Astyanax mexicanus: one gene and its partner. The protein of the gene in region 2 interacts with the protein of the main gene of each other region in a biochemical or structural test. Links are inferred from orthologs where the notes say so. Each region holds a gene or a part of one and is shown on either strand. Other genes may lie near its edges.

What was found.
Region 1: of the proteins of wnk1b (region 2) and klhl3, one has a biochemical effect on the other in vitro, tested with the Homo sapiens proteins (2 studies listed by BioGRID). The link is inferred for Astyanax mexicanus from reciprocal best matches to the Homo sapiens genes WNK1 and KLHL3.

The regions. Positions count from the first base shown.
Region 1 is NC_064417.1:37,864,253-37,880,089, forward strand, and holds the start of klhl3 (kelch-like protein 3), read left to right. Parts: upstream 1-7,858; 5' UTR 7,859-8,288; coding exon 8,289-8,302; intron 8,303-9,932; exon of another isoform or gene 9,933-9,998; coding exon of another isoform or gene 9,999-10,009; intron 10,010-10,306; coding exon 10,307-10,426; intron 10,427-10,625; coding exon 10,626-10,732; intron 10,733-11,006; coding exon 11,007-11,128; intron 11,129-12,245; coding exon 12,246-12,408; intron 12,409-12,538; coding exon 12,539-12,648; intron 12,649-13,774; coding exon 13,775-13,891; intron 13,892-13,988; coding exon 13,989-14,138; intron 14,139-15,234; coding exon 15,235-15,352; intron 15,353-15,450; coding exon 15,451-15,648; intron 15,649-15,837. Other genes in the region: dpf2l (D4, zinc and double PHD fingers family 2, like), read right to left, coding at 107-303, 405-512, 605-765, 1,503-1,534; hnrnpa0a (heterogeneous nuclear ribonucleoprotein A0a), read left to right, coding at 3,191-4,102. UniProt on the Homo sapiens protein: Substrate-specific adapter of a BCR (BTB-CUL3-RBX1) E3 ubiquitin ligase complex that acts as a regulator of ion transport in the distal nephron.
Region 2 is NC_064409.1:5,328,717-5,344,645, forward strand, and holds the start of wnk1b (serine/threonine-protein kinase WNK1), read left to right. Parts: upstream 1-8,532; 5' UTR 8,533-9,474; intron 9,475-12,769; 5' UTR 12,770-13,247; coding exon 13,248-13,973; intron 13,974-15,929. UniProt on the Homo sapiens protein: Serine/threonine-protein kinase component of the WNK1-SPAK/OSR1 kinase cascade, which acts as a key regulator of blood pressure and regulatory volume increase by promoting ion influx.

The DNA of each region.
Region 1 (15,837 bases), on a different chromosome or scaffold from region 2:
AAAACATTGTATGTATATACAACTGTTTACACACTGTAAAACATTTCCACTACACATTCTTTTAAACATGATGTAGTTTGATCAATAAACTTTATTATTTCAATACCTTTCGGACACGTGTGGAGGTGCTGTGGCTACTGGCCCCAGTTGCTCCGGTGATTTCAGTTAAATTGGTTTCTTCCTCTGGGCCCCTGAGTTCTGGAGGGGCTCTCTTATCCAAAGGTTCTCCTTTCAGCAAGGCCTCCAGACTGCTACCATCCAACGTCCCCAGCACATCTTTTTTCAGCCCTAATTCCAGATCCGCTTTGGGAACAAAGGACAGATACACAGGATAATGGCTAAGCATCATAATTTTCCACAAAAAAAACATATAAGAAATAAATGCCCAGACGTAGATCAAACACCTGTTTTAAGTGGGGGGAAAACCAAAGCAGGATCTTCTGGTGGATGTGCTCGCCTCTTTTTCCTCCAGCGACGGGCGGGATATGTGTACAGCTGGCCTGGTGCTATGCCTAGCAAGGAACAAAATTGGTACTACTGAGAAAACAGTCGGAGTAACAAGGAAAAATGTATTATTATTTTTTTAAAAGTTGGCATATTAAACCTGCACTTCTGTGTCTTTTTTCCATCCATATGTAGCAGTTGCTTTGAGCTACTCCAGTCTGGGAGTCCAGAAAAGGCATGAGAATGCTTCTCTCTGCACACAGCCGGGCATTGTAGTTGTGGCACTGCTCCATGGCATCTTTGTAGTATTGTTCACCCAATCTAAAGCACATACACATACATGTTCAGAATCAATGCAACAACAAAAGCAACACGTTAAAGTTAACTCCTGTCTCAATAAAGATAAACTACCTTATTTGCTTAACATGCTTATTAATTTCCCCAGCACCGGATCTTTTTTTTTTATTTCAGCCATTTCTCTTTTTTGCGAACAAATGCTCTAAATGACTGTATTTTCTTTTGGAATTTGGACGAAATTATGCCCATAGTTTATAGAATAAAACAACAATGTTGATTTTACTCAAACATATACCTATAAATAGCAAAATCAGAGAAACTGATTCAGAAACTGAAGTGGTCTCTCTGAAGTAGTCTGTAGTTAACGCTAACTAGCGAGCTAACTGCAATACACAAACATTAAAAACGCACCTTCTCAACAACTTAAGAACACGCGAACAACAAGCTGAGGGTTTAAAGCAGAGTTTAAAACAGTTTATATCTTATAAACACCTTCTACATGCTAACTATACAACCCTGGGGTAACACCACAGCATCGACAGCAGGGGTTTTGTTTCCATTGGAAAACAATGAATGGAGTAGCTGCAGCTGTGGTGCTACTTAGCAAACCCACTCAAAATCGATAAATCCAGCTAAACAAACCCACTTTCATTTACACGATCCTTCGCCAAAACTTATGCTCTATTAAACGATCAGTTTATATGCTATAAACAAGCTGTGAAAGATGGTTTAAACGCTCAAAAAATGGTAAATCAACTCACACTTTAACAACATTCTCAACGGCGGCCGCCATTTTTTGCCGTAATAGCTGTTGTGTGGATGCCGCGCATGCGCACTGTGGACACGGGAACTAGCACACGGTCACCTCCTCCTCCTCCTTCTTCTTCTTTATTCAAACACAGCTGCCTCCTAAACCGCACTTTGATATATATATATATATATATATATATATATATATATTAATAGCTGCAATATATAGACTATACCGGCATTAATATATATCATAGACTACAGGACTATACTACTAATAACACGGTGTGTACAGAGTAGCTAATGTACTAATGCTTTTTAGTGAGCTAAAAAATCTCATTTTACGCAGACAATGAATGAATTAAATGAACCCACACATTTAATTACGGCTCTGCCTTAAAATATCCAGCTCATATATTTTAGCTGGTCAGCTCGTTGGTTTAATTGCTCTCGACCGATGTTGTCTCTAAATGACCAGCTGGAGTTTTTAAAGCTTTTTTAGGTGCTTTTCTTTTTTTTTTTTTTTTACCTCAACCTCCCTTAAAATATCTTAAAATGTTAGCAACTAAAGCTAATTTGTTTAGTTAGTAGCCTAACACTCGCTCTGCTTGCATTCTATCTATCTACATTTAGCTAAGATAAAAAATTATATTAGCTAGCTAACCTACAGCACCATGTGTTAAAGCTAGCGCTTCATATATGAGCAGATGGTGGGCAGCTAGCCAGAGAACAAAAGCACGAGCCTGAAAGAAAGAGACCCTACAACACAAAAAACCTTTATATTGCTAGCTGAACGTGATAGTCCATTAGCCGACTATATAGCTACTGCTTTTTTAACAGTTCTTATAGCATTTTTATCTTTTTAAACACAGTATATTAACGTATATTACAACCCGCCGTCGTAATAAACGACAAAGACCACACATAAAAATCCAGTTTAATAGACACGCTGCTTTAACCCTATATGGCATGAATTATATCTTTCGGGAGATTTCTCATCTGACCTCCTCTTACCCTGCATGTTTTGGGTTCTTCCTTGCTTTAAAACACCAAATTATCTAAAGGCTAAATCTAAATTTAATTTGGTATAACCACAGGGACTCCCAAGCTTTCATAAATGCTGTTTTCCTTCCCGAAAAGGTATAATTAATGCCATATAGGTTTAAAGCAATGTGTTTAATAAACTGGGTTTTATATGTGTGTTCCACTGCTGGATAATGATTTATTTAAAAAAAAAACATGAATTAACACATATTTTTATTTATGTCCCACCTATACGCCTTATTGTACTGGACGTAGATATGCAATGTAACATTATATTAAAGATAAGTAGGTACAGCAAGGAAGTGAATAAATACGTATGGTATGGAAGGGTTTGTGGTTTGTGTTTCCTGACGGCAAGACTATGCCACAGAGGGTTAAAAACACTAAATAAAGGCATTAAATAATAGATTATTGTAGTTGACGTGATTAGGGCTTTATATTATTTATATCTTTATTTAGTAAATTTAGGGGTCTAAAATAATGAATTAAATGTGATTCTGTTGGATGTGGGCGGTGCTACAACCTCCCCCCGCGTCTCCGCCTCTCACCACGCCCGCCCGCCGCCGCCATTTATTACAGAGCAGCCGCCATTTCACATCACCGTTCCCGGAGCCGACTGAGAGGTTACTAACCTGTTCAAGTCAGCGCTAAGAAAATGGAAAACCAGCTTTGCAAGCTTTTCGTCGGTGGACTCAACGTCCAAACTACGGATGAAGGTCTCCGCAAGCATTTCGAGCAGTACGGGCAGCTGACCGACTGCGTGGTTGTCCAAAACCAGCAGCTAAAGCGCTCCCGCTGCTTCGGCTTCGTGACCTACACCTCGCCGGAGGAGGCCGACGCCGCCATGTCGGCTAGGCCGCATGTCCTGGACGGGAACAACGTGGAGATCAAGCGGGCGGTGGCCCGGGAAGACGCAGGGAAGCCAGAAGCTCTCGCTAAGGTCAAGAAAATTTTCGTCGGCGGTCTGAAGGACGACATCGAAGATTCGCACCTGATCGAGTGCTTTTCTCAGTTCGGCTCCGTCGAGAAGGCCGAGGTGATCATGGACAAAGACACGGGTAAGAAGCGCGGCTTCGGCTTCGTGTACTTCGACGATAACGACTCGGCGGACAAAGCGGTCGTGCTCAAGTTCCACACAATCAACGGACACAAAGTGGAGGTGAAGAAAGCGCTGACCAAGCAGGAGATGCAGTCTGCAGGCGGTCGCGGCGGCAACCGGGGAGGACGAGGCGGACGCGGCATGGGAAGGCCCCAGAACGGCTATGGCGGCGGAAGAGGCGGTGGCTACGGTGGCGGCTATGGCGGCGGCTACGGAGGCAACGACGGCAGCTATGGCGGTGGTTACGGTGGTGGCTACGGTGGCGGGTATGGGGGAGGCTACGGGGACCAAATGGGTGGCTACGGCGGCGGTAACGGCTACAATGACTTTGGAAGCGGCTATGGCCAGCAGTCTTCTGGCTATGGGCCAATGAAAGGTAATTACTCGGGCAGAAGCAGCGCTCCTTACTCCCGCGGCGGTGGCGGTGGTGGTGGTTACGGCAGGGGGGGTTATGGAGGCTCGTATTAAGAGGGCGTGTTTTAGGTCCGAGTTTAAGAGCTGCTCCTTCTCCAGGACTCGAACGAACTCCTCTTTTTCACTTATCCATTCATACAGGAACCCTCGACTAACTAACTACCCAGCCTAGCACAATAGGAGAGATAGGGCGCCCCTCCGCGGCCTATCGCCGCCTATACAGTTAAACCCAGCGATCAAGTTCTTACAGCAGCTATTACCTACTACTACCCCAGACCCCAGTTCATCGGTCTGCTCTAGAACTACTAGGCGGATTCACATCAAGTCAAATAGGACTACTACTACTCTGGATCTTTTACTTTAATCTGACCTCCCGCGGGTGGCAAGGGCAGGTTACCTGACGGAGAACTGTTTTACCACGCTTATTTGTCTGAATTAAGTTAAGATTAGCTCACTTGCTTGTTAGCATAGGCATGTGTTTTCTCTCTTTTAGTATATGTATTGTATCCTGTCTTTTTATTTCTTCCTTTTTTACCTGAGTTTAAGAAGTGTTAAATCTGGGCTATTTTTTGTTATTAAAAGCGTTAGCTGTGTATTTCCGGTGCAGTTAATTTGTAGTCCTTTATTTTTTTTAAAACTAGGCTCGTTGGTCATTATAAAGGCGAGCTGGGTCGGCGCTTAAATTATCGCCCTAAAATTGGTGGTGATCTCGGTCTTGGCTGAGAGCAGCATGTGTATATAGAAGGACCAGGCCATGGTTCGTTCTCGTCTCACGTTCATCAATTACTCCTTCCTCGTTATAGTGACTGACATGTAAATCCCACTTATATATGTTAAATAGTTGAGTCTATTATAATTATTATTATTATGGAATTATTGATTAAACATTATTGTTACAGTGAACCTGTTTTCAGATTATTTTAGGTTGGATTTCGATTTCTGCTTTTAGTTTAAACACCAAGAAGACTTCATTTAAAATGCTTTGTCTCACTGTGTTCCTGAAAGGTATTGACTTATTAAATATTGTTTTTCAGTTATACACTAAAACTGTATGTATTTCTATTTAATAAAAGTTCCATTAGCCATTGTTTTACTGACTTTAGACGAGCCTCATTTTGGGTGGTTTTGAATAGACTAGACTAAGCGTATTAGCTTAGCAGTAATTGATTAGATGCTGTTCATCGGCTCATTGTCTTTCTACTTCACTTTGATCATCTCTAGATCAGATGAGTGGGGGGATTACCATTTCCTCACCCATTTAACTAAGGATGTTGTATTTTACCTATTTTCTTATTGTAAAATATGTCTAGAGCTCTGTTCCAATACTTTTAGTGATCAAATAAGACGGATCTATACCTTAGCTGTGTCCACTACTACGTCATTGGATTCTCCAGGGGTACTCCAGAGCTGTAGAAACCCAGCTGAAAGTCCATAGGATATTCGCACCAGGTTTCAGGTTTGTAGAAATACTTTACACAAGACATTACATTGTCTTAAACACCATATGGATCCACCTGGAGCAACTGAACTTGCATCAGGTATTTTCTAGATGATCCAGTAATGCGTGCATGCAACATAAGTTTTACACATTTCTTAAATATGTATTTTAACCTCAGTAAATTTGAGGTGACTTGTGTGAATTAATTTAAGTGGTAAATAGTATAATTTATATTGTCTGGTTTAATGTATGTGAAGCTGTGGTGCTACGCTCTAGTTATGTCTTAATCAAATATTTTAGACAATTTTCAGTTTAAGGTCTTACCGGAGTGTGGGGCTTAGAGTTCCTGTTTACTTGATGCATTAGTTCCAGATATTAATGACACCAAATGCAAGGAGATCAGCATTTATAAGCAAGGTTTGTGGCTTCAGTTATTTATCTTACATCTTATCTTACACCCCCTCCCTCATCATCTCGGTGTTTTGCTTGTGTTTTGTCCCTACACATTTATGGCACACTGAAAGGACTTGGATAACATTGATATGTGCATTAAACTGTAGTAGTAATCCTTTCATGGCTTTAAGTAGTTTTGAATTTAATGCACTTGTCTGGGCTGTTGAATTGTATGACTGTGCAATTTTCATACCAGAAAGTGCACTTTGCATTTTACTTCCCTTCCATTATTTAAACAGTTTTAGTTGCCCTAAAGAATAATTAGTAGTATAAATAATGAACTGATTGGGTTTGGCAAATTTAGAGCCTGTTTGAGGAACTAATTACTAAATTTAAATGATCATGCACTTACATCTACCCCTCTCTTTTACCCTGCAGAAATGACAAAACTGCTGGGAATAGGTAACTTCTTGGTTATAAGCCCAGCTGGTGGATGAAGACCTTTTGGAAAGCAGACCTGATTGATTTGAAAGTTCTGCAAGTAAGTAAAATGTTAAATGACCCAGAAATCTAAATGTTGTGGACATAGACATTGATGCATACTATTTACCTAACAATTTTGTATTTTTTACAGTGAACTGCAGCAAAAGCAAACTTCGGAGTGTGCATATGCTCCTACCTACATGGAGAGGCCTGTATGAGCACACAGTGGTAAGTTCAGAATGCTAAGAAACTGCAGTAATTATGCATTTTCATGTTTTAATAAGTGGCAAACCTAATGTGTCCCTGTTTTTCTTTTTACAGGCTCCAGAGGTTGGTGTGGCGCTGAGGCTCCAGGGCACTGGTGGAGAGGAAGATGATTCAATGTTGTTGAACTTCAAGATACCAGTGTTTTTGTGACCAATTCTTGCCTGCATTTTTTTTTCCTACAGAACATGAGAATGACTGACTATACATTTGCACTTGATTGAATAAAAATCATGATTGCGAATCTGAATCTGCTTGGTTATTAAAATGCTGTCTAGATGTTGTTTAGATCAGTGTGTTTCAATCTTTTAGTTAAAACTCCGTTTTTGTAAAGTGCCAATGTAGACCCCTACTCTGGGTAAAAAAAAAAGAAAAAAGGGCAGGATTTAAAACTGAATTTTTAATAATTCACCAAATAATTGGGTTATGGCCAAATTGGATAATGATAAAGTGGCATAACAGTTTTATTTATTTATTTTTCGTGAGGTACTGATTTTGAGCCCCCCAGTTTGAGAACTGCTTGGTTGGACAATGCTGTTCATCTTGTGTTCCTTTTGGTACCATTCACAACAGCTTGTAATTGAGTAGGTTTATATCCATTATAAATTCTTTTTCTTTTTTTTTTCTTTTTTTTAGATATAGAGATATAATCCATTTAGATGGCAACAATCCTGGGTGTGATTTAAATACGAGGCGCGTATATTAGTAGTCTGGGTGCCTGGTGGTGGTTTGATTGTATTTTTGTACATATATAGTTATTCTCAGGGGAACCTGGATATTTGTAGGCTTTCTTCAATTCTTTTCCTTGAGGCTCACTGCCGTGTACAGTTAAGTGTTTTTTTCTGCTTTAATGTCTCAACAGAAACTTTTTTAATTGGCTGATTAGTTGGAAGCGTAATAAAGTGTATGGTAGTGGGTCTTCAGGGTAAAGGGAACTGTGGTCATGAGTAGCCTGTCCGGTGAATGTCCTCTGGACTGGTTTGGGGAATCTAGCTACTGGGCCGCGAGCCAACGACGACAATAGGTAATGGTTTTGATATCTGGGTGTGACAAGATGCTGCAGTGATGGCTGCCCACTGCTCTGGGTGTGTGTCCTCTATACTAGTACTTAGTTTTCTAAATATAGGTTAAAGTTGGAGGCCAAATTACATCTGTACCTACTGTACAAGTATAGTGTATATGGTTGTCTTGTCTTGCTCATTTCTGAATTCATGCCCTGTCCATTTGCTCCTTCTGAGAGTCTGAATAAGTGTTAGAGGATATTTCTGCAGAAGATAGCCCATGTTGTTCGGCACCTTTAGCATCCTACGCTCACAGTTTCCCGGGAGCTCGTCGGCGCGTTACCTGGCAACGTGGACACGCGCTGATTGGACGGTTGTGAGTGAGAGGACAGCGGGCAGAGAGAGGGCTGGAAACTGCCTCTGACACTCAGCATGTAAACATTAAGCTACAGACTGCCCCGCTGCTTATTAACACACTACAGTAAGGGATACAGGGCGAGCTCAGCGCGGGGCTGTGCAGTCTGCTGACCACTACCGAGGGGAGAAGGCAGAAAGGGCGGAAAATAAGTTATAACTATGGGCCCGAGAACCGCAACGGGATGAGCTAGCGAGCCTACCAGCGTTAGCCTAGCCACCCGGCTAGTTGCAGTGTTCCGGAAACATGGAATTTATCGGGTAAGTGCTGAAAGTAAAGGCACGGAAACCGCTTTTCCACAAAAATACACTCGCTTAAGAGTAAAATATGTGAGATACTTTACCCAAACGACTCCTTTAATTGGTGGATTTACCCTAGCTAACTAGCTGTATGTGACAAAGTCAGGCTAATAGCAGCTAGCGTTGGCTAACGCTAGCTCTGTGTCAGGTCTGTTTACCGAAACGACAGACAGTTAGCTACGGCTAGCTAGTTAACCTAGCTGTGAAAAAATATGAAACACCACTTAAAAATGATGAGTGTCTTGGATTTACCTAATCGAAAACCTCTGGAATATAATCAAGAAGAAGATGCATTATCACAATCCATCAAACCAAACTGAACTGCTTGAATGTTTGCACCAGGAGTGACATAAAGTTATCCAAAAGCAGTGTGTGAGACTGGTGGTGGAGAACATTCTAAGGTGCATGAAAACTGTGTTTAAAAATCGGGTTTATTCCATCAAATACTGATTTCTGAACTCTTTTAACGTATAAACTTGTTTTCTTCGCATTAATTGAGGTCCGAAAGCTTAAAACAGCTGTGTTATTTCGGCCATTTCTCTTTTTTTGCAAATAAATGCTCTGAATTGCAGTATTTATATTTGGATTGTTTTTATTTTACTCAAACATATACCTATAAATAGCAAAACCAGAGAAACTGAAGTGCTCTCTTATTTTTTTTATTTCTTATTTTCATTCTATATATGTGTAGCTACTTGAGTTGAAATAGAAATACCCAAATATTCTTCAGTAGGACTAAAGACTGTTTTGCTTTGAAATGTAGCTGCTTAAGTGTCAAAAGTACTAACAAGCAAAAGTACCACGAATTATTAAGGCTTTAATGTCCTATTATCATTATTGTAACAATACTAGACAACAGTGATGTCTATTAAAGTCCCAAACACCAAATAATGAAAGCAGATGTATTTGCAAATTAGCTATAAAGGTAATTTTAAGGAAATGTGCTTTAGCAAACTATTACTGCACTGCATCTATACAGTACTAGCGAAAGATTTGGACACTTTTCATGCAATGTGTTTTCTTTCTTTTTACATTGTAAATTTAATATAGAAGACATTAGCACTATACAGGAATAGATCTGCACACCCACTAAATTTCTCAGTGTCTTCATGAGGTAGAGTCACCTGGAATAGTTTTCTCAGCGTCCTGATGGAGTTTCTGGAGGTGCTGAACAATAGTTACTGCTTTTTCTTCACGCTGTGAAGCTCCAGCTCATCCCAAATTGCCAAATTACCCATTTCAGTTGATCAGGTTTAGATTAGGGGATTGTAGAGGACAAACACTTTTTATTTACATATTCCATATGTGTCCCTTAATTGATTTCATTTCTTTAACATCAATCTTTAATTAAGAAAATATATTAAATAAAGAAAACATTAAATAAGAAAGTGTGTCCACACGTTTTACTTGTACTGTATATTTAATATATTTTGGCATAGGCACTATAAATTGTATACAGTTGTTGAACGGTATGTTTGAAATGGATCAATATATCCAGCAGGTAAAAACAAGCTCAAAACAAAGTGCAAATTGTACTGTACTATGATTTGTGTTTTTTTTTTGACAAGTTATCTTTTTATGCACACATGAGCCAAAAGGAATGCCAGATCTGCCATAATGGAATAGTGGATTAAAATGGAAGATAATTGACTTTGAAATGTTGTTGAGGTAAAGTGACCTGAAATATTTAATAGAGCCAATTACTTTTACTTTTTCACTGTCCACTGGGTGATAGTAGTTATTTGGCACGATTAGACTGTGTGAAAATATCATAAGAGGATGCTTTTTATGATATTAATGGCTAGACTTTTTTATTATTGGAAAAAGTGTGTAAGCTTTAGCTGTAGTTGATTGGTAGGTTTTAGCTACATTTCTAGAGACAGATATAGCCAGAGTTAGAGAGGTAGCATACTGTATATGTTGTTTATACATAAGTTCTCATCGTATCTAATCCTGTCTCACCAGGAGCCGAGCTACATCCCTGCAAGAATTTGATTCAGAGGACGATGGAAGAGACCCAGGCATGCACACCTTCAGTCATGCACATATGAGGAAAGCCTTTAGGTTAATGAATGACCTGAGAAGGTAAATAAATGCATGGCATTTTTTTAAAAGGGAAAATGTGCATGTACTTGTTTATATACCCATTCTGAAAAACAAATATCTTCTATTATAAAGATCAGTGTATATTTTGATTTGTAATTTAATGTAAAATTAGCAAAAAAAATGTCAAAAACAAACAAAATTTAACTTTTTTTCTTTTTCTTCTCATTAATGATTGCAGCAGAAAGATGCTCTGTGATGTGCTGCTAGTAGCTGGAGAAGTGGAGATTCCGGCACATAAAGTTGTCCTTGCTTCTTGTAGTCCCTACTTCTGTGCTATGTTTACAGGTACTCTGTCTAAATAAAGTAATGAATATCTATAATTAAGCAATACATTTAAGTATCTCAGCATATTGTACATCACAATTTGACAACGTGAAAGCTTAACACCTTGATAAAGGTACCTTCTACTGAAACTTTCATAAAAATTCATGAAAAGGTTTCCCATGTTCCACTGCAGTGACTTAGTTCACCTTTAGTAATGCTGTTGTTGTTTTTGTTTTAATCATGGCTCTCTCCATAATAAAATCTGCTGAAACTGTGTTGTGTTTGCTGTTTTCAGGTGAAATGAGTGAAAGTAAGGCTCCTCGTGTTGAAATAAGGGATGTGGAAGGGCAGATCCTCATGAAACTGGTGGACTACATTTATACGGCTCAGATCGAAGTCTCAGAGGACAATGTTCAGGTGAGTGGATTTTGCATGTTATTTTACCAGTTGTTTTTATATTATCTTAATTGTATAATATGCCTCATGTGTTTTCCTGTTTTCTTGACTCTTTTGCAATTCGTTTGCACCTTTTTTCTCTGGCAAGTCCTGCTCTGAGGCACAGCATTTCCTGCCATTATTAAGAGGGGAAATGTGTAAAGAGCGAGGGAAGGTTCTGCCTGTGTTTACCTCTCATGCCCTTGTGCTCTGATTGTTCATGATTGTGAGGATAATATAAAGTCATGTAATGCCTTTTTTGGGTGTTTCATTAGATTGTTAGCAAGTAGAGGGGTTGTTTTGCTACAGGCACCACAGCTGTAGAGAACAGATGCTCCAAAAAAGCTGCATGGAGCTTTCTCTTGAGATTTAAGTGTATCATGGAAGAGGTAGAAAGGCTCAGTGAAGCTGAGCAATGTGACCTAGTTTTGGTCATGCAGTATGTACAAATGCTGCAGTGAGAAATGTGACTGTTATTAAGCAAGGCTGCATCAGCATGTGGGCTTCTGAAGAATGTTAAGCATAGAAGATTTCTCTGCTTTTTTTTCATATTATGAACACTTGAGCTCACGAATCTCACCTCCAACTCAAAACTAACACAAATCACAAATCGTTCAGCAAATCAAGCAGTTTAGAATGCAGTAATAGATGGATAGATGCGGTAGTATCTGGCTCAGTGAGGGTTGGAGCTAGAATAATCTCAGCTCTTCAATAAGGTCCGTCTTCTGGCACCCACATGACTTTTTTTTGTCCTTTAAAATGATGAACACATCAAAAAAAAATCGGTAACACAAAGAAGTTTCGCAAAGATGATGACAAAAAAAAAGTCTAAAAGAAAAAGGTTTGTTTACTTACGTAACTAACTTGTAAAACTAGTAACTGTGTTTCTGTTAAAGCTCTTGAATGCCACAGAACTGAAGAACATTGCAGACATTAATATTTTTCTCCTACATTTAAAGAATAACATCAAATGTACATTATTTCCTACATAAATATGGAACATATGGAATAATCATTTGTTGTAAAAAGTCAGATTCATTGCAGGAAGTTACAGGTTTTTTACCTTAATCATAAAATATCACATGATGTATCTGCTCAGGTTCTGCTGCCAGCAGCCAGTTTGCTGCAGCTTCTGGATGTGAGGCAGGTGTGCTGTGAGTTCCTGCAGGCTCAGCTCCATCCCACCAACTGCCTCGGCATCCGCGCCTTTGCCGACCTGCACGCCTGCACTGACTTGCTCAACCATGCCCACGCCTTTGCTGGTGAGCTTTTTTATCTGGCTCATATTAACTTTAAGCTCAGTTTAGTTTCAAGCACATAAAGTAGAGCTGGAGAACAGCCAGCTGACTAACAGCCTATGTGTGTGTATATGTTTGTTCTTGTGCTAAACAGAGCAGCATTTCTCAGAGGTCATGCTGGGAGAGGAGTTCATGGGTCTTTCCTTACAGCAAGTGTGCAGCCTTATCTCTAGTGACAAACTAACTGTGTCTACAGAGGAGAAGGTAAGCTTTATGTGTATGTTTTCTGTATGTATCTATATTAATCTTTTAAATCATTTTAATGTCTTCATGTTATTACCTTCCTTTTCACTGTTCTCTGAAAGCACTTCTAAAAAATAATCTCCAGTGGGCATTATTATAATTATTTGTCGTTATTGTTGTTGTTATCATCATTTTGGATAATTTATCTTAAACAAATTCAGCTCACAATTAAGTTAATTATTCAAGAGTAATTATGTAATTGATCATAAAATGTTACTCCAGGTGACTGCTGAAATGCCTATACCTGTAAAAGTTGAGAGGTCAAAACTGGTCAGCTTGCTCATGGCAAGGCTGTGTTATCAGAGCCTGATTAGTGGGTGTCAAACAGACAGGGCATTTCATTAATGAAGCTGTGCATGCACAGTGGGTGGTGATGATTGTGACTGGCAGTGTCCGGCCAGAATTGTCCTTGTGAATCAACAAGCGCGTCTATCAGAAAACGCACTAATTTTAATGCAGGGCGTTTCACAACCATCTCACAGATCAGTGCAGCTTCCTTTAGAATCCAAGGAACATGGCCAAAGTCATGGGACACAATGCTAGTTCCTATCCCATGAATTGTGGCATGTAAGTGAATGGCTGTATATTTTGTGAAATGCTGCTGTGAAATCCTGCTTTTCTTTAATTACAGGAACAGGTTACATGTTTTTGGTGGGTGTGGTTAATATTCAGTTAAGTCAGTTTTAATTATTTGGCCTACTTTCATTGTTTAATCCTGTTCTTGTTTAATCCACTGGTGTCTAGTAAATGTGACAGACAGTAGCAGTTGTTAAAACCATATGCTGGCTATGGAACAAGTCATCCAACTCCATGTTGGTACACTTTAGTAATTTCACTGGATGACTGACTGAAGGCTCTGTCATAAACAGTCTGACTCGCAGGCCAGAGTGCTGCTGGGATGCAGAAGGAGCCGAGCTGTGCGTCAGTTGGAGCCCTCACACACCATTAGCTGCTCCGTGTCTCACCCCCCAAGTTCGCAAGCTCAGCTGCTGCCAGCTGTCATCCGCCATCAGAGCCACCTCAGTGACTCTGCCATCATGAAACAGAGGATGCAGGAGCTTACAGCTTGTTTATTGCACCTCCCCAGGTTTTTGAAGCCATGATCGCATGGATAAAACAAGACAAGGAGGCACGTCTAGAGCACATGCCAAAGCTCATGGAACATGTTCGACTGCCACTATTATCCAGAGATTACCTGGTTCAGGTAGGCTGTCTTTAGGTCTGATTTACACCATGATGTTTGGTATTATTTTATTTTTGGCTAAGCCCTTTACATTACATTAATTTGTGTATCTGTGCAGATTGTAGAAGAGGAGGCCTTGATCAAGAACAACAACACGTGTAAGGACTTTCTCATTGAAGCCATGAAATACCACCTATTACCTGCAGACCAACGACACCTGATAAAGACAGACAGGACACGGCCACGCACACCAGTCAGCCTGCCTAAGGTATGCAACGTTATCGGTTGACTTATAGAGTTGGTTTTCCAGACAGAAAGTAAGCCTAGGATGTATTATCAGATATTAAGGAAACATGCTGAGTTTCCACACTGGCAGCTCCTGTCAGCAGAGCTTCAGACAGTATTTTTCATTTGAACTGTGAGGTATGTTACATTAATCTGTGTGGCTGGTAGCCACCGAATCTGCCCACCACTATTCCCCCAGTCCCATTTCCACACTCAGGGTTGCCAGCTATTTACAGCTGCACGCAAGTGTGCTATTTTTCTGCTGAGCAGATAATCACTGAGCTTCAGTAAGTTCGCTAACCAAAAGGCTGGGTAATTTATCACCACCACTAGCGTAGTAGAGACATGCAATTTAGACACTGAAATGTGTGTATATAACCACGTAAGCTTTGTGTCCGGGGATGAGCATGTGGAGCTGACAACTCCTGTGTCCATTTCACAAACTTGCTCTCTTAAAAGTTTATGAATATGAACTTGTTTTCTTTGCATTATTTGAGCTCTGAAAGCTCTGCATCTTTTTTGTTATTTCAGTCATTTCTCGTTTTATGCAAATAAATGCAGTAAATGACTATTTTAATTTGGAATTTGGGAGAAATGTTGTCCGTAGTTTAAAGAATAAAACAACAATGTTAATTTTACTTAAACTGAAGTGGTCTCTTTATTTTTTCCAGAGCTGTAGACATTTATCCACCAGTTTTCAAAGAAGAGGACCTACTTTCTGGTTGAAGGAGCTAAATTAATACCGGTACATCCACCACGCCCATATGAGGGGAAAGCAACACCAGAACATTCTTGCCTAGAGAACTGACTCAGTTATATACCAGAGCTTCATTACAAAGTTTACCCTTGTGGTGGATGTTTTAAATTTAGCTGGGAGAAGATTCTTTAGTCTGGTAAAACAAAATGGAACTTTGTGGCCATCAGAATAGATGCTATATTTTGCGGACACCAAACATGAAACTGTGGAGCATGGTGGTAGCAGCATCGTGCTGTGGGGACATGCAACTACATGCTTCTGTTTCTTCAGATAAGTCGGATTTATTCATGAGTTAAACATTCTCTCTCTTTTCCCCTGTCAGGTTATGGTTGTGGTGGGTGGTCAGGCTCCGAAGGCCATTCGCAGCGTTGAGTGTTACGACTTCCAGGGCGATCGGTGGTACCAGGTGGCGGACCTGCCTTCTAGACGCTGTCGAGCAGGCGAGTGTCTCTGTGGTGCTTCTGTTTTCACTTTATTCTCCACCTGATTGAGACTTTCTGTGAAGCTAATTCTGTGTCTTTGTTTATCTGTTATACAGGTGTGGTGTTCATGGGTGGTAAGGTCTATGCAGTGGGGGGCTTTAACGGTTCACTGCGTGTGAGGACGGTGGATGTGTATGATGGCGTGAGGGACCAGTGGAGTGCTGTTCCCAGTATGCAGGAGCGGCGCAGCACCTTGGGGGCGGCTGTGCTGGGTGATCTGCTCTATGCTGTTGGTGGTTTTGATGGCAGTACAGGTAAAGTTATTCATTGTCCATCTCTTTTTTTTTTTTTTTTTTGCTTCATGATATCTAAAACTTTTAATTTTCAGTACAAATGCCAGCAGTACGGTAGAGGTTGAAACTTAAGTAGGGATAATCATGGAGAATTTTGTGATGGTACAAAACAATTTCTTATTAGTTTTGTTTGTTATTCTATTATTTTCT
Region 2 (15,929 bases):
CAAGTATCAGTGTCTCAGAAAATTAGAATACCATATAAGACCAATTGGTACTTTTGGAAGTGTGAAAATGAAATCCACGTCTCCATAAAATAGCTGCACAACAGACAGACTCAGAAGGTCCTTCATCCCAAGAGCATCAGACTCTTTATTAACTCATCTATCTATCTATCTATCTATCTATCTATCTATCTATCTATCTATCTATCTATCTATCTATCTATCTATCTATCTATCTATCTATCTATCTATCTATCTATCTATCTATCTATCTATCTATCTATCTATCTATCTATCTAGTTGTCAGCAGAGGGAAGCTTGAAGTGCTGTAAGATTTTGCATTTCAGTTGGAAATCAAAGGACCAGAGTCACACAGTCCAAGCTGCTTGAGGTCTAGTGTGAAGTTTCCACCAATCAGTGATGGTTTGGAGAGACATGTCATCTGCTGGTGTTGATCCACTGTGTTTTATTATCAAGTCTAAAGTCAGTGCAGTTTTGTTTTCCCACAAAATCTTACAGCACTTCATGCTTCCTGCTGCTGACAACTTTTATGGAGATGCAGATTTCATTTTCCAGCAGGACTTCATCAATGTCATCATCTGCCATTGGTTTTGCAGTATTTGGTTGATACTGAGCAGACTGACATCTGGATGCACTAACTAATGCATTCAGTTGTCTTTGATTGGCTAAATACTTTTTATATTTTAATCAGTTGTGCTCCACCATAACTATGTATCATAATTTCTCCAATACGTTTGACCAAGAACACCACTGGTAACTGGTATATATAATGTAAACAAAATTCATAGAATATTTTTTTTACAGGAACATATTTTTAGCTTTAGTCAGTCCACCTACGAAATGTTACATAACGTGTTACGTTCTTTTTTAAAGCCTTTAAAAGCCTTGCAAAAACGGAAACTGGTCATGCAGGCTACATTTCTTTGTGTACATGCATGTAGCCTGTGGCATGTGTCGCTTTGCATGCTCAGGGTGGAAGATATGCTGAGCTACAGATAACAGCACAAACTCATTTGGATTAGTCCCCCTCCTCCCGGCTCTCTGCAGTTAGTTTGTGATAACTGATTTAAATGCAGTTATTTAGTTCATTAAGGAGAATGCACTTCTCGTCTACGAGTCTTAAACGAGACTTATTTGATCAGGATTTAGTAATGACAGATCTATTCTTAAGAGCTGCATCTCAGCACACCTACTCTACACTCCCTCCAGTGGTTCTAGAAAGCTACAGCTGCATGAATTTGGGCTAACTGCAGTGTTTAAGGGAGGGGGTGTGGGAGTGTAGGCCCTTTTCTCTCTCACTTTAACATGTTGTTAAAGCTGCTTTGCATACCAGCACAGCCTTTTTCAAGCGAAAACCTCTCAAAAATACAGGCTGCCCTTTATATAAGGTGATATAAGCTTTATATATGATAGGCAGGAACAGTGAATATTTTGCAAGCAATTAAAAGGTGTATAAAATACCTCAGTCCTCAGTTTTGTTTTACACCTCAAGTCATTTAAAGGGAAAGAACTTTAAATTCCTGGTTTTCTGCATTTAATCAGTTTAAATGAAAGAATTAAAGAAAGCTATTTCTCGAAATATGACAGACACTGTGATTGCTTTATTATCAACATTATGCATAACTTTATTCATTGATGTTTTTTAAGTACTCAACAAAGTACACAATTAAAAAACATGTAAGAAGTATGGAAAATGCAAATATACAGCTCTGGAAAAAAATAAGGGACCACTTAAAATTATGATTTTCTTTGTTTTCACCAAATTAAAAACCTCTGGAATATAATCAAGAGAAAGATGGATGATCACAAGCCATCAAACCACCAAACTGAACTGCTTGAATTTTTTGCACCATGAGTAAAGCAGCATAAAGTTATCCAAAAGCAGTGTGTAAGACTGGTGGAGGAGAACAGGATGCCAAGATGCATGAAAACTGTAATTAAAAAACAGGGTTATTGCACTAAATATTGATATTATGAATGTGAACTTGTTTTCTTTGCATTAATTAAGGTCTGAAAGCTCTGCATATTTTTTGTTATTTCAGCCATTTCTCATTTTCTGCAAATAAATGCTCTAATTGACTTTTTTTATTTGGAATCTGGGAGAAATGTTGTCTGTAGTTTATAGAATAAAACGACAATGTTCATTTTACTCAAACATAAACCTATAAATAGCAAAATCAGAGAAACTGATTCAGAAACTGAAGTGGTCTCCTATTTTTTCCAGACATCCAGACATTCTGAACCCAATATATCTTGTTTTATTGGGTCAACTTCAATTCACTTATTAATATACATCAATACCTTTTAAGCCTGTGACATGTTCCACTGATTAATGGTCAATCACATCATATGACATCTCATCCACTAAAACTCCATTTAAATTTTTAAATGGCCCTGTGCCTTCTTTCAACATTTTTAATACAAGGAAAAACTTGGTGACTCTAGAAAACCCTTAGAGAACCCTTGTTTCTGTAGCCTTAGAAATTGCTTAGAAAGTGCTGTGAGAGTTATGAATCATATTACCCTTAATTCCTAAGAGTGCTCCTAGCTTACAATTGCCACTGAAATCACATACGATGGTGGAATTCCCCTATAATGGCATTTGGCGGGTGCTCTTTTCCAAAGCAATTTACATTTGAATCAGGTTACACAGGTAGGTGAATGTAGCTTCGGGAGCCAATCTCTCTGATTGGTGAAAAGTGGTGAACTTGCCTAGCTGGGGAATTAAACCCTAATACTGCATAGTCTTTAAAGGAGAATTCTGGTGTAAAATGGGCTTTTGATGCAGTAAAACATGATAAAATGTACTTACCTTTGATGAATAGCACACCTCCTACAGTGTTCTGAGATCCAGGAATTTTAACAGTTTGCCTAAACACCCTTCAGACTGGGTAACACTGGGCATAATTTGCCCCGATAAATAGCTTTTTATACCGTTATCCAGCTCAAAGTAGCTCCACACCTCCTTGCTAGAATCTGGAGAGCCCTGACATTTAAAACGAGGCATTAATAACTTAAAAAGTGCACAAGAAGCTTATTAAAAAACACTGTTTACATGCAATCATGCTAGCTTCAGCTCCAAGCGCCGCCATCACTGAACTGATAATAACAGACATATATATATATATATATATATATATATATATATATATATATATATATATATATATATATATATATATATATATATATATACACTGCTCAAAAAAATAAAGGGAACACTCAAATAACACAATATAACTCCAAGTAAATCAAACTTCTGTTAAATTAAACTGTCCACTTAGGAAGCAACACTGATTGACAATCAATTTCACCTGCTGTTGTGCAAATGGAATAGACAACAGGTGGAAATTATTGGCAATTAGCAAGACACACTCAATAAAGGAGTGGTTCTGCAGGTGGGGACCACAGACCACTTCTCAGAACCTATGCTGTCTGGCTGATGTTTTGGTCAGTTTTGAATGTTGGTGGTGCTTTCACACTCGTGGTAGCATGAGACGGACTCTACAACCCACACAAGTGGCTCAGGTAGTGCAGCTCATCCAGGATGGCACATCAATGCGAGCTGTGGCAAGAAGGTTTGCTGTGTCTGTCAGCGTAGTGTCCAGAGGCTGGAGGCGCTACCAGGAGACAGGCCAGTACACCAGGAGACGTGGAGGAGGCCGTAGGAGGGCAACAACCCAGCAGCAGGACCGCTACCTCCGCCTTTGTGCAAGAAGGAACAGGAGGAGCACTGCCAGAGCCCTGCAAAATGACCTCCAGCAGGCCACAAATGTGCATGTGTCTGCACAAACGGTTAGAAACCGACTCCATGAGGATGGTATGAGGGCCCGACGTCCACAGATGGGGTTGTGCTCACAGCCCAACACCGTGCAGGACGCTTGGCATTTGCCAGAGAACACCAGGATTGGCAAATTCGCTACTGGCGCCTTGTGCTCTTCACAGATGAAAGCAGGTTCACACTGAGCACATGACAGACGTGACAGAGTCTGGAGACGCCGCGGAGAGCGGTCTGCTGCCTGCAACATCCTTCAGCATGACCGGTTTGGCAGTGGGTCAGTAATGGTGTGGGGTGGCATTTCTTTGGAGGGCCGCACAGCCCTCCATGTGCTCACCAGAGGTAGCCTGACTGCCATTAGGTACCGAGATGAGATCCTCAGACCCCTTGTAAGACCATATGCTGGTGTGGTTGGCCCTGGGTTCCTCCTAATGCAGGACACTGCTAGACCTCATGTGGCTGGAGTGTGTCAGCAGTTCCTGCAAGATGAAGGCATTGAAGCTATGGACTGGCCCGCCCGTTCCCCAGACCTGAATCCGATTGAGCACATCTGGGACATCATGTCTCGCTCCATCCACCAACGTCACGTTGCACCACAGACTGTCCAGGAGTTGGCGGATGCTTTAGTCCAGGTCTGGGAGGAGATCCCTCAGGAGACCATCCGCCACCTCATCAGGAGCATGCCCAGGCGTTGTAGGGAGGTCATACAGGCACGTGTAGGCCACACACAATACTGAGCCTCATTTTGACTTGTTTTAAGGACATTACATTAAAGTTGGATCAGCCTGTAGTGTGTTTTTTCACTTTAATTTTGTGTGTGGCTCCAAATCCAGGCCTCCATTGGTTAATAAATTTGATTTCCATTGATGATTTTTGTGTGATTTTGTTGTCAGCACATTCAACTTTGTACAGAACAAAGTATTCAATGAGAATATTTCATTCATTCAGATCTAGGATGTGTTATTTGAGTGTTCCCTTTATTTTTTTGAGCAGTATATATATATATATATATATATATATATATATGACTCCGCATAGCGTAGCAGCTGGTGCCAGGAGGCAGGCTATGCGGAATTTATGTATATATATCAGCTAGCTCAAAATCCTTCTACACATTAATTTGGGTATGTGTTAAAGTATGGAAAAATGCATATGATTTCAATTATGATCACGTTACATAAATGCTACAGAATGCTAGCACGGCAGTTACGTAAAGACATAGTCCACACTTTACATTCTCTTCGTCGATGTGTGCTGAAAACAGGAAGGCCAATTACTGCCTCGTCCAGGCGGGGAACAAAGTGTACACATACCACAGGCACATACGTCTCAAACACGTACACATTCTGAGATGCAGATCTTTGCTGAAGAGCGCAGCAAGTGAACCAGTACTTTGCAGTCTTACCGTACATAATTAACCTCTGTCCCTGTGCCACCTCCAACAGCCCCCAGGCCTGCTGAGAAGTAGCTGTGGGGCCTCTTCTGCAAACCAGAGGGGTAATATATGATCCTATAAGAACCTACACATGTGGGCCATATGAGGGACCGAGGCTGGTGCATGAGGAAATGAGAAAATGGAAACGACCAGTAATTTTAGCATGTAGAAATGGACATGTGGGGCACAGAGTGGTCCAGCGGTCTAAAGCGTTGCCACTATGATCGGGAGATTTCTGTTTTGAATCGTGGTCATACAGCTCTCCATCAGCTGCCGAAGTCCTGAAAGAGCACAATTGGCATAGCGGTGTGTAGATGCTGCTCTTTTCCTCCACATCCCTTCCAGGGTGATGTCAATCAGTGCAAGGCGTCTGTGAGCTGATGTATCGGAGCGCTGTGATGCACCTTGGCAATGATGCATCAAAAAGAGGCGGAGTCTGACTTCACATGTGTTGGAGGAAGCATGTGCTAGTCTTTACCCTCCTTATGTTGTGGCATCACTAGTGATTAGGGATATACAGCTGAGTAGAAGCTGAAAACAGAAAACTAGAGAAATTCAAATAGAGAGATTTAACTTAACCTTCTTGTTTTGACGCTCCCTTATAAGGACCCCACAGGACTGCATGTTTTATTGATCAGACACAGTAGTGCTGCTGGAGTTTTTAAACACCTCATCGTTACTGCTGGACCTAAAATCATGAACCATTAAGACTATCAACCAGAAACAGACATCCCAAGTTGCAAAAATTAATTTCAGGGAGGGACCCCTGGACATGGACCAAACCCCCAGCCCCCACCACCCCAGGACCTGGACGTGGACTACCACAAAACCCAACCATACCGCCCCTAAAATAAAAAAAATGACTGTCAGGGTGCCTGCATTTCCTTAAAAATTCTTAAAATATCTTACATTAAAATTCAAGTAATTACAGTCTTAAATTGTCTTAAATTTACTGTAAATTTGCTGTAGGTAAGACATTTTCAGACATTTAATGCCGGCGGGAAAGCACAAACTTTAGCGGTGAGTTAGCTAACGTTACTGGGAAGATAACTAAGGTTAGTAGAGAGCTAGCTAACATTAGCGGTGTGTTAGCTATGTTACCGGGGAGAGAACTATGGTTAGCAAAGAGCTAGCCAACACAGTAACATCAGTTGTGAGCTAGCTTACATGCTAAAATATTAACTTTAGCGGTGAGTTAGCTACGTTACCGGGGAGAGAACTAAAGTAAGAGGAAAGCTAGCTAACATTAGTAGCTAGCTAGCTAACATGCTAACATTTGCGGCTAGTTAGCTACGTTACCAGGGAGAGAACTAAGTAAGTGTCATAACAAAGGGGAAACAAAAGATAACAGCAAAAGATAACAGAACTTCTATCTCTGACTTTTATCCACAAGGTGGACAAATTAGGTAGGAGTGTCCAATTAGGTGGACAGTCAGCCGACACCGTGTTTAAAAACTCCAGCAGCACTGCTGTGTACCTAATATCCAGCAAAATTACAAACATTTTGACTGTACTAATACATGCAACATAATATAGTGCATAATATGAAAGCATAATGTGACTTTTTTAAACAGTGTATCACATATTAGCACGAGGTAAAGATTACACAGTGTGATTTCAAGCTTTTGCCATTTGCGTAAGCTTTGTGTGTGTATATTTATACAACCATTAACAGTGTAAAGAGGATTAAGGTAAAAGATACGCTCTGGAAGTGGGTCATTTGCAAATTCTATATTACTGTTTGATAAATGGGCTTTAACATCCTGAGTGATTTCTTCCTGCTCCATCCCATAACCTGACCTTTCATGACATTTGCATGCACTGTTCATACAGCACTTGGTGCATATAATGTAGTTGCTCACTCCGAACTTCTAAAAGTATTTAAGAAAAACAACAAATTAGAAGAATAGAGAACAAACACCAGTTTCTAACAGATGTGGGAAAAGGTTTCAGGAGAATTTTCCAGTCCAGTCCACATTACCTAAAAATAATGAGATAGCAATTTACTTAATAAGAAAAAAAAACATGCTATTTTTAATATTAAAAAAAATCCTCCTTTTGAGATACTAAGTCATTATTTTGAGATTCTTCTGAGATACCGAGACATTATTTTGAAATAAGTTGAAGCTTTGCAATCTACAGCTTTGCAATCTACTAAATACTGAGATAGCAATTAACTCAATGATAAGAAAAGAAATACAGGCTATTTTTAAAAATACTTCTGAGATACTAAGTCGTTATTTTGGGATACAAGCTCATACATTTAAGATACTAAGACATTATTTTGAGATACTTCTGAGAAACTAATATATTATTTTGAGATACTATTTAACTATATCATTATTTACACAAGCTCATACTTCTGAAATACAAAGATATTATTTTTAGATACTTCTGAGATACTAAGATATTATTTTGAGTTACTTCAGAGATACTAAGATATTATTGTGAGATACCTCTGAGATACAAAGACATTATTTTGAGATACTAAGACATTATTTTGAGATATTATCGCATTATTTTGAGTTACCTCTGAAAAACCAAGACATTATTTTGAGATACTTCTGAGACACTAAGGTATTATTTTGAGACACTATCTCACCATTTTTTTTATTTTATAATAATTTTATTTCTCTGGCTCAGCTGTGCAACCTACTGCTACCTCTAAATACTGAGATAGCAATTATGATAAGAAAATCAAGAAAATACATACTATTTTTAAAAATACTTCTGAGATATTAAGTCATTATTTTGAGATACTAAGACATTATATTGAGTTACTTGTGAAATAACAAGACATTATCTTGAGATACCCCTGAGATACTAAGACATTATTTTGAGATATTAACTCATTATTTTGAGTTACCTCTGAAATACCAAGACATTATTTTGAGTTACTTCTGAGACAATAAGGTATTATTTTGAGACACTATCTCACCATTTTTTTTATTGTATAATTATTTTATTTATCTGGCTCAGCTGTGAAACCTACTACTACCTCTAAATACTGAGATAGCAATTAACACAATGATAAGAAAATCAAGAAAATACATACTATTTAAAAAAAAATATTAAACAATATTAAGTCATTATTTTGAGATACTGTCTCAATGTGTCATTGTTTTCTTTCTCAGGCTCATCCATACAATCAACGCACTGTTATCTCAGAATAATGACTTGATGTATTGTTTATCCTCACAACTCTACCCACCTCTGCTGCGGCTGATAATCATGAATGAAGCCCCCCCCTCTTCTCACCGTGTGTTTCTTTAAGGTTTGCTACAGTGTTGCACGCGGTGTGATAGAAGTCCGCCGCTGCTGTGTGTGCGGAGGGAAAGGCGACCCCCCTCGGTGTGTTTGATAAAAGCCCGGCTGAGGCTCTTGTGGGCGGGGAGCTGGAGCAGCTCGTGTCGGCGCAGCCTCCAACGTGACACACTGGAATAAGCATCAGAAGCGATAGAGAGAGAGAGAAGGAGAGAAAGAGAGAAAGAGAGACCAGCTGCTCAACAACACAAAGCGTACGTTTGGACTCTAAACGTTATACAGTGCGGGGAAATGCTGAGATTTGATCTGCTGCTTGCTGGTTCTCGGTAGGATAGGCTCTCTGACTGTGTCCACCGTCCAGGAATTACACACAGTTTCACCGGCCAGACTGAACAGAGGAGACGAGCTGCAGTGGATGTTTGTTTTTTCGCTGCATTGTTCATGGGAAAGGCGATACGGAGAGACTGCGAGAGCGAACTTGAGAGAAACCAGCCAACCTGAAGATCTGCAGGACTGGGTTTAACAGCTGCAGCAGTATATCATTGGCCTGTGGGAATATAAGCAACATTTTCAACCCAGCATTAACAACATTAACCCAGTCGTTTGCAGAGCTGCTGTGGCAGTAGGCAGTAGCTGTAGTGCCTGTGTGTATGTGTTGAACGGCATGTCCTGCAGGAAGGATTTCTCCTAAATTAGATAGTATTAGTACCAAGTAATAATATGTATTCGGTTATTTAGCTAGCTATGACTTGTTGGTACTGTTATGGCTAGCTATCTAACCTAACTTAACCTAACCTAGCCCAACGCAGCAAGCTCACAGTCTGCAGTCTTTAGGTTAGCTTGGTTGGGTTTTTCCTTCTTCCTCACACTACAGACTACTGCTGTTGCTGTCTGTCTGTCTGACTGTGTGATTGTCTTTCGTCTTGTCTGTTTCATTGGAGGAGGATGACACCAAAGGATGGATAACACGATACGAAAGGTAAACTTGAATGTCTTGTCTTATCTTTTTCCCTATCTGACCTACCTACCTATTGGATCTTTCTATCTAACGTTATATCTCTAGCATTAGGTCTACCTACATACCTAGTTACCTGCTGGCTTGCTGTGTTGTGATTCAGCAACGTGGTGAGACAGATCCGTAGGGCTGCAACGATTCGTTGACATAATCCACAAAATCGTTTTAACTGCACTGTGCACTAAACTACACTTGAAAACGTAGCTTAGCTAATGAGGCAGGGGTTAAGTTTCCTAAGTTGTTCACTCACCCAGTTCACATACCTAATACATAGCTAGGTTACATTTGATTTAAGCTTAAAAGCTATTAAGTCTTATTAACCTAGTTCGCCATGTTAAGACATATTTAACTCTTTATCAGCCACTTTTTACACGCAATTTGCTTAAATAGCTTATTATTATTATTTGCGATATTATACATTAAGGCAGTGACTGAACAACAGGGTGAAGAGACTTACAGGTGTGCAAGCTTGGGCAGGTGAGGGGGGATTGGAGAAATCGATTAGTCGATTATAGACTAATCGAAAAAAAAAAACATAACAATTAGTGAGCAGTCCTATGGAGTGTGTTTACGGGTTGACTAGGACTGCCACTAATGATAGTAGAGTCAACTAATAAGCATTTTTTCAACTATTCGACTCTAAACATCGTTAGATTAGTCGACTAGCTACCAAAATTATCATTAGTGGCAGCTAGTAAATAAAGAGTATATGTGGTGTTTGGGGTAGCTAGTTATTAACACTTACAGGTGTGCAAGCTTGAGCGGGTGAGGGGATGGCAGAAATCGGTTAATCGATCGAAAAAAAAAAACGTCAGATTAGTCGACTAGTTACTAAAATAATCATTAGTGGGCAGTCCTAGTAAATGGTGTGTTAGTAGTAGGTTTTAAATCAGATGGAGAGAGATAAAGAGAGAGAGCAGCTGGTGGTGGCACACTGACTGTTTGGAGCTGCTGATGTGTTTTGGATGTGAACGTTGCTTTTAGAAGTTTAAACCTTCAGAAACCCTGTTTTAATCGATTTATTGAGGTTAACTTCCAAATTCTAGCAAACTCAACATTGTAAAAGCATATATAAACGATGAACACACTGGCTGTTGGAGCTGCTGTGCTGTTGTGGAGTTTAATGGGAACGTTGCTTTAATGTTAAACCTCCAGAAACATTTAGAAACCCTGTTTAAGTCGATTTATTGAGGTTATCTTCCCAATTTCTAGCAGATTCAACGTTGTAGCTGCCTATTCAACACCATATCAACACAGTGTTTGAGCTGCTACTGTGATTTGGAGTTTAATGTGAACGTTTCTTTCATTTGAAACCTTCAGAAACTCTGTTTTAAAAGCGATTTATTCAGGTTAGTTGTTAGATTTGAGCAAACTAATGAGATAGTAAGTGCCTATACAAAATATTTAAACGTTGTTTTTAGCTGGCTACATTAGCTAAACGTATTTTTTATTATTAGTGTTATTATTAATAATACACTAACTACTCCAGATAGCTTGCTAGCCCTGCCTGATTTATTAACCTACTTTTTCCAGCTAATTTTAGCTTCAACACAAACAACGTCTTAGCCAACAAACCGGGTAGAGTTAACTAGTTAATTAACGCTATTTAAGCTAGCCTTAGTTAATCTACCGGTATGTTTAGCTAGCTGTTAAAGCTAGTTATTTAGCTGAGCTCATGTTCTCCCTCTTTTTCTCCTCACGTTTGCATGCTAACAGCTTCTGGAAAGATCTCCCACTGAGATATTGGTCGCTTTGTCACTTTGGCCATAGTTTTAAAGTGTTAAAACGTTAAAATCACAGTTGATATCCAAAACCTGCGGACAAATGGCTGGTTAGCTTAGCTTAGCTAACTCGCTATCCGACACAGAGCTCTGAAGCTCTTCTCCCAACACTACAGAACACAGGGTAGCTAACTGCCCAGCTAATGTCAGTCTCTGAGGTGGACTAGTATCGTTTCAAAACGTTTAAACAAGCTAAATAAGTGTATAAACTGTATTATTCTCTGTTAAAACGTTGCCTGTCTTTAAGTAGTTACCTGACACGAACTATTTAATCAAATACTTAAAGTTTCAGAAGTTTTTCATGCATTTATTTACTATGAGCTAGATAGTTGTGGTGAATTGTCCAGCTCCAGAAAGTTTTCTGGAACTGACATCATGTTAATGCGTGGCCACGACATATTAAGGCGTTTAAATAAGAAAATTAAGCTGCGTGAATGAGCTAATTAACCCTTTCAGACCTGAGTTCTCTCCAGTGATGGGATAAAAGGATGCTGTTTTATGTCCATAATGCACAGAAAAGAAGACTATAATATTCTACTATAAAATCTATATAGCACATAAATCCAATTAAATAAAATATTTAAAAAATATTTTTTTCCCATTGCATTGAAAACCTGTAATATTTTATATTTCATATTTACCTGTTTATTTTTATAAACCCCCATAAATCCCAGAACAGTAAAAAATAAAACATGATTAAAAGTGTTCTAAATCATATTAAACTGTATTTCCAGTGCAGTGGATGGGACCAAGCTACTGCATTACTGGTGTCCGCCTAGTATCTTGATAAGAAAGAATGATTTGATAAGAAGATATATTTTGTATATATTAGGCTTGCTGGAGACTTTCCTAAGAAACTCTGGCGAATATAGTGTCTAGCTACATGTCTATATGTGAATGTACACAGTCATCACATACAAAGTGGTTTTCTAGTTAGTTTAACCAGTAAATCAGCCTCATGCAGCCAGTCTTATTAAAGCTGTCCATAAGCAGTAAATTGGATTGTTAAACCCCCTAAGATCAACGCTGTTTCCATCAGCCCTTGCTGCCACGCCCCCAAATTTCCTTCACCCCCATGGCTGCCACATGGAAATAGGCTTTATTTCTGTGAGGATTGGCTTCCTTAGGAGACCATTTTTAATGTTGATTTAAAAATAATGATATAAGAAAGAATATCTCTGGCAGAAGAATATCTTATGGCTGATTTGGTCTCTGCACATTTAGCTGCTCAGGATAGAACCATCTGTGTTCAGGTTTGTAGGTTAAAGTGTGTGAAAATGGGTCAGACTTGCATGTAACTGGCAAACAATTCCAGGGAAATAAAACTAATTTCCCCTTTTCTCTTCCTTTTGTGTAGAGCCATGCCAAACCACTGACATGCTTGTTGGTGGTTATAGCTTTAAGGTCAAGCTGACAAAGACTAAAGTCTAAATTTGGGCATGCAATTAAACCTGTTCTCTGCTTGTGTTGTCTTGCAGTGAGTCTGGACCTGGGGTTGGGTTACGCAGCCGGGTTGACCGTTCCCTGTTTCCCGAAGGAAAGCGTGAAAAGGCTTTAGCCCCGCCCGTCTTGTGGTTCCTTATGCTCCATGAAGACTCTTCCCGGGTTGCTGCAGGATGGATGGTGTGGATTTGACGGTTCTTGTCTGTCACCATCAGCGCTTGCTTCTCTGTGACTGCGTCTTGTTCTTTTACATTTATAAAAGAACACCCCCTCTCCTGGACTCGTACCATAAATACTGTAACAGTAACTGTTTATAAGGAACACCCAAGGAGGGGGTTCTCCCAGAAACTCTCTGAGGCTCTTTAAAGCTTTTAATTTGTGATCATACCCTTCACTCTGTTTGTGGAGAGAAGTTCTTCACTATAAAGTGAACGTTTACATTTGGATTTATACACAGTAATTTATTTATTCTTTTTGATAGTTAGCTTTATTTTGTTTTTGCCTGGTGTGAAGATGTCCAAGAACAATGGCACAGAGTTCCTGGCCCCTCCGCCACCAAAGAATGTGAATGGTTCGGGCTCCGACTCGCTGCTCGGCGAAAAGCTGGGTGCGGAGGTCCGGCACCGGCGCCACACTATGGATAAAGACCTGAAGACTGCTGAGCACCGGTTCTTTAGGCGCAGTGTCATCTGCGATTCCAACGCTACTGCTCTAGACCTTCCTAGCAAAGCTTGCATCCCCACTTCGCCTCCGGATCGCGAATCATCTGCGGCGCCCTTGAGCCTTGGTTCTGCTCCTGATGTAGCTGCTGAGGCCTGCTTGGCTGTGGTGGAGATTGTTGTAGAAGAACAGGCAGAAGATACCAGTGAAGGAGGGCGGCTGTCTGGGCTTGACGGGGATGAGAAGCAAATCCAGACTTTAAGCCCTGAGAAAAGTGAAGCTTCTGGAACCCCAGTTTTGGTGCCCATCGTAGTGGATAACCAGGAGCAAGATGTTGGAGAGGCTGAAAAACGCGAGGAGGAGGAGAAAGGGGCAGCAAAGGCCCGCGCTGAAGCAGAACAGAGGGAGGCTGAGAAGAAGGAGCGAGAGGATGAGGAAGTGGAGACGAAAGCCGTGGGCACTTCGCCAGATGGGCGCTTTCTTAAGTTTGACATCGAGATTGGACGCGGCTCTTTCAAAACCGTCTACAAGGGCTTGGACACTGAGACAACTGTGGAAGTAGCGTGGTGTGAACTCCAGGTAAGGAAGAATCAATCCTCTCATCCCTAAACTCTTCAGTTAGAGTCTTAGTTGGTCTTTATCCCCAGTAGTTACAGCAAAGGTAATCTAATTGAACGTTTGGCCTCAGTAATATGACCTCCTCTTCTCAGCGTGCTGTGATGATGCACATGCTGCAGGCATTCAAAATAGGTGTGCAGTGTTTAAAACTGCTGATTAAGACGAGATAAGTTGGCAGTCAGTGTCAGAACAGTAGTACAGAAGTGGGTACCAAGGTTACAGCAGGAAGTCTTCTCACCCGACATGTTTTTTTTTGCCATTCTGTGGTTACGTTTCTCACAGTGCCAAATGAAGGTCAATGAAGAGCTGTAGCAGTGGTGGTGGGGAGGAGAGAAGTTCAGTTGCAAGCTCTTTGGTCATATGACCAACTGTTTAAAGAAAAAAGTAATACCAAATTATTTCAGCCGCAAGATATTTTTGCTTTCACTTTGATGCCTGGGTAAGGTTATATCAGGCCAAAGCAATCTTATAAATACCGTCTTGAGCAAATAAATGCAGATCTGACTCTGGGAGTTGAAGCAAATTATGCTCAGTTGGATCTCATTAACCAGTGACCCAACGGACGAGTGTTTTCCCCAAGCATCACAAAGCTCTCCCTCTGTCTCTCTCTCTCTAGGCATCTCTCAGTCTGGCTTTAACTCAATATAACCCATTTCTTTTCATTTTTATTTTGTGGAAAGCATGTTTGTTTGTGAGCACCTTGTCTGTTAGAAAGCATTACTCATGTAATTACTTTTCTGGACGTTAGGGGTGTAATGATGAAGCATGTTTATATACAGCAGAAAGAGACAGGGCCTGAATATGCGCCTTGTGTTCGAAATAGCTGCGTCCCATGTAGGTAGGCCGTGTTTTTTGATGCTTTTAGGTTGTTTTCAAAATGAAGGAATCTGAGAAATTAAGTAATTTTGAGGACACAGGTCCTGGATTACCCCTAATTCTTTGTGCACTTGCAATGCAAAGGGGAAAACGAACAACACAGCAAAAATTAGGCCTAGATTTCCACTAATGCTGCCCGACAGCGCTACACTGAGGAACCCTGAGTGTTCCTGAGTGTCTGATATACTCACCTCTGAACAGCATAAGAACTAACGCTTAGCGTGGTTAGTGTGTAATGCTAATGCTACTCCAGCAGTGCTAGCCGGGGTTAGCAGCAGGCAACAGGCCCATTATACTCACCTCTGACTGGCAAAAGAGCTACTGTTTAGCGTGGTTAGCGGCAAATGCTAATACTGCTCCAGCCTCAGTGCTAGAGACCTTAACTGAAACTCCTTTATAACGCTGCACTTCAGTAGTATATATGTATTATAAGGTGCTATGTCAATTTTTGGGAAAATTAAAAAGATTTAACATGCTCCTTAGTGCGAAAATTGGGTACTATAGAGTATGTCAGTTGGCTTGGTTAAAAAAACAGTGAAGATGGGGAAACCCTGATAAAACCGCAGCACTAAAAAACAACTCATGATGCATGCATTAATAATATTAATAATAATAATAATAATAATGATAAAACCCCTAAAGCTTTGCAAAGGTTACGTAATCTTATCTAATACACAGATGAGATGAGAGCTTTTAAGATGGTCCTCCCTAAGGCCTGCTGGTAATCCTAAAGTGGCGGCTGGCATGCTGGTGCTGACGTCACTGTCTTTGACCCTGTAGTGTGTTGGAGTGGGCGTGGTGGCTAGGAGGCAGTGGTATCTGGAGCCTGTCTGTGTGTACGTGTGAGTGGGCACGCTCACGCTACTTGGGGGTGACGGTGGGGGTGCATTCTTAATAGATCAGTTCTGTTTGTAGGGGAGGTCCTAAGTGATTCGGGGTCAAAGGGCAAGCGGGATTCAGAGAGGGGTCTGGCCCTTGTGAGCCAACGACCAGTCCCACAAAGAGCACCAGAGAGAGAGAGGGAAGTGAGGGAGGAGGAGC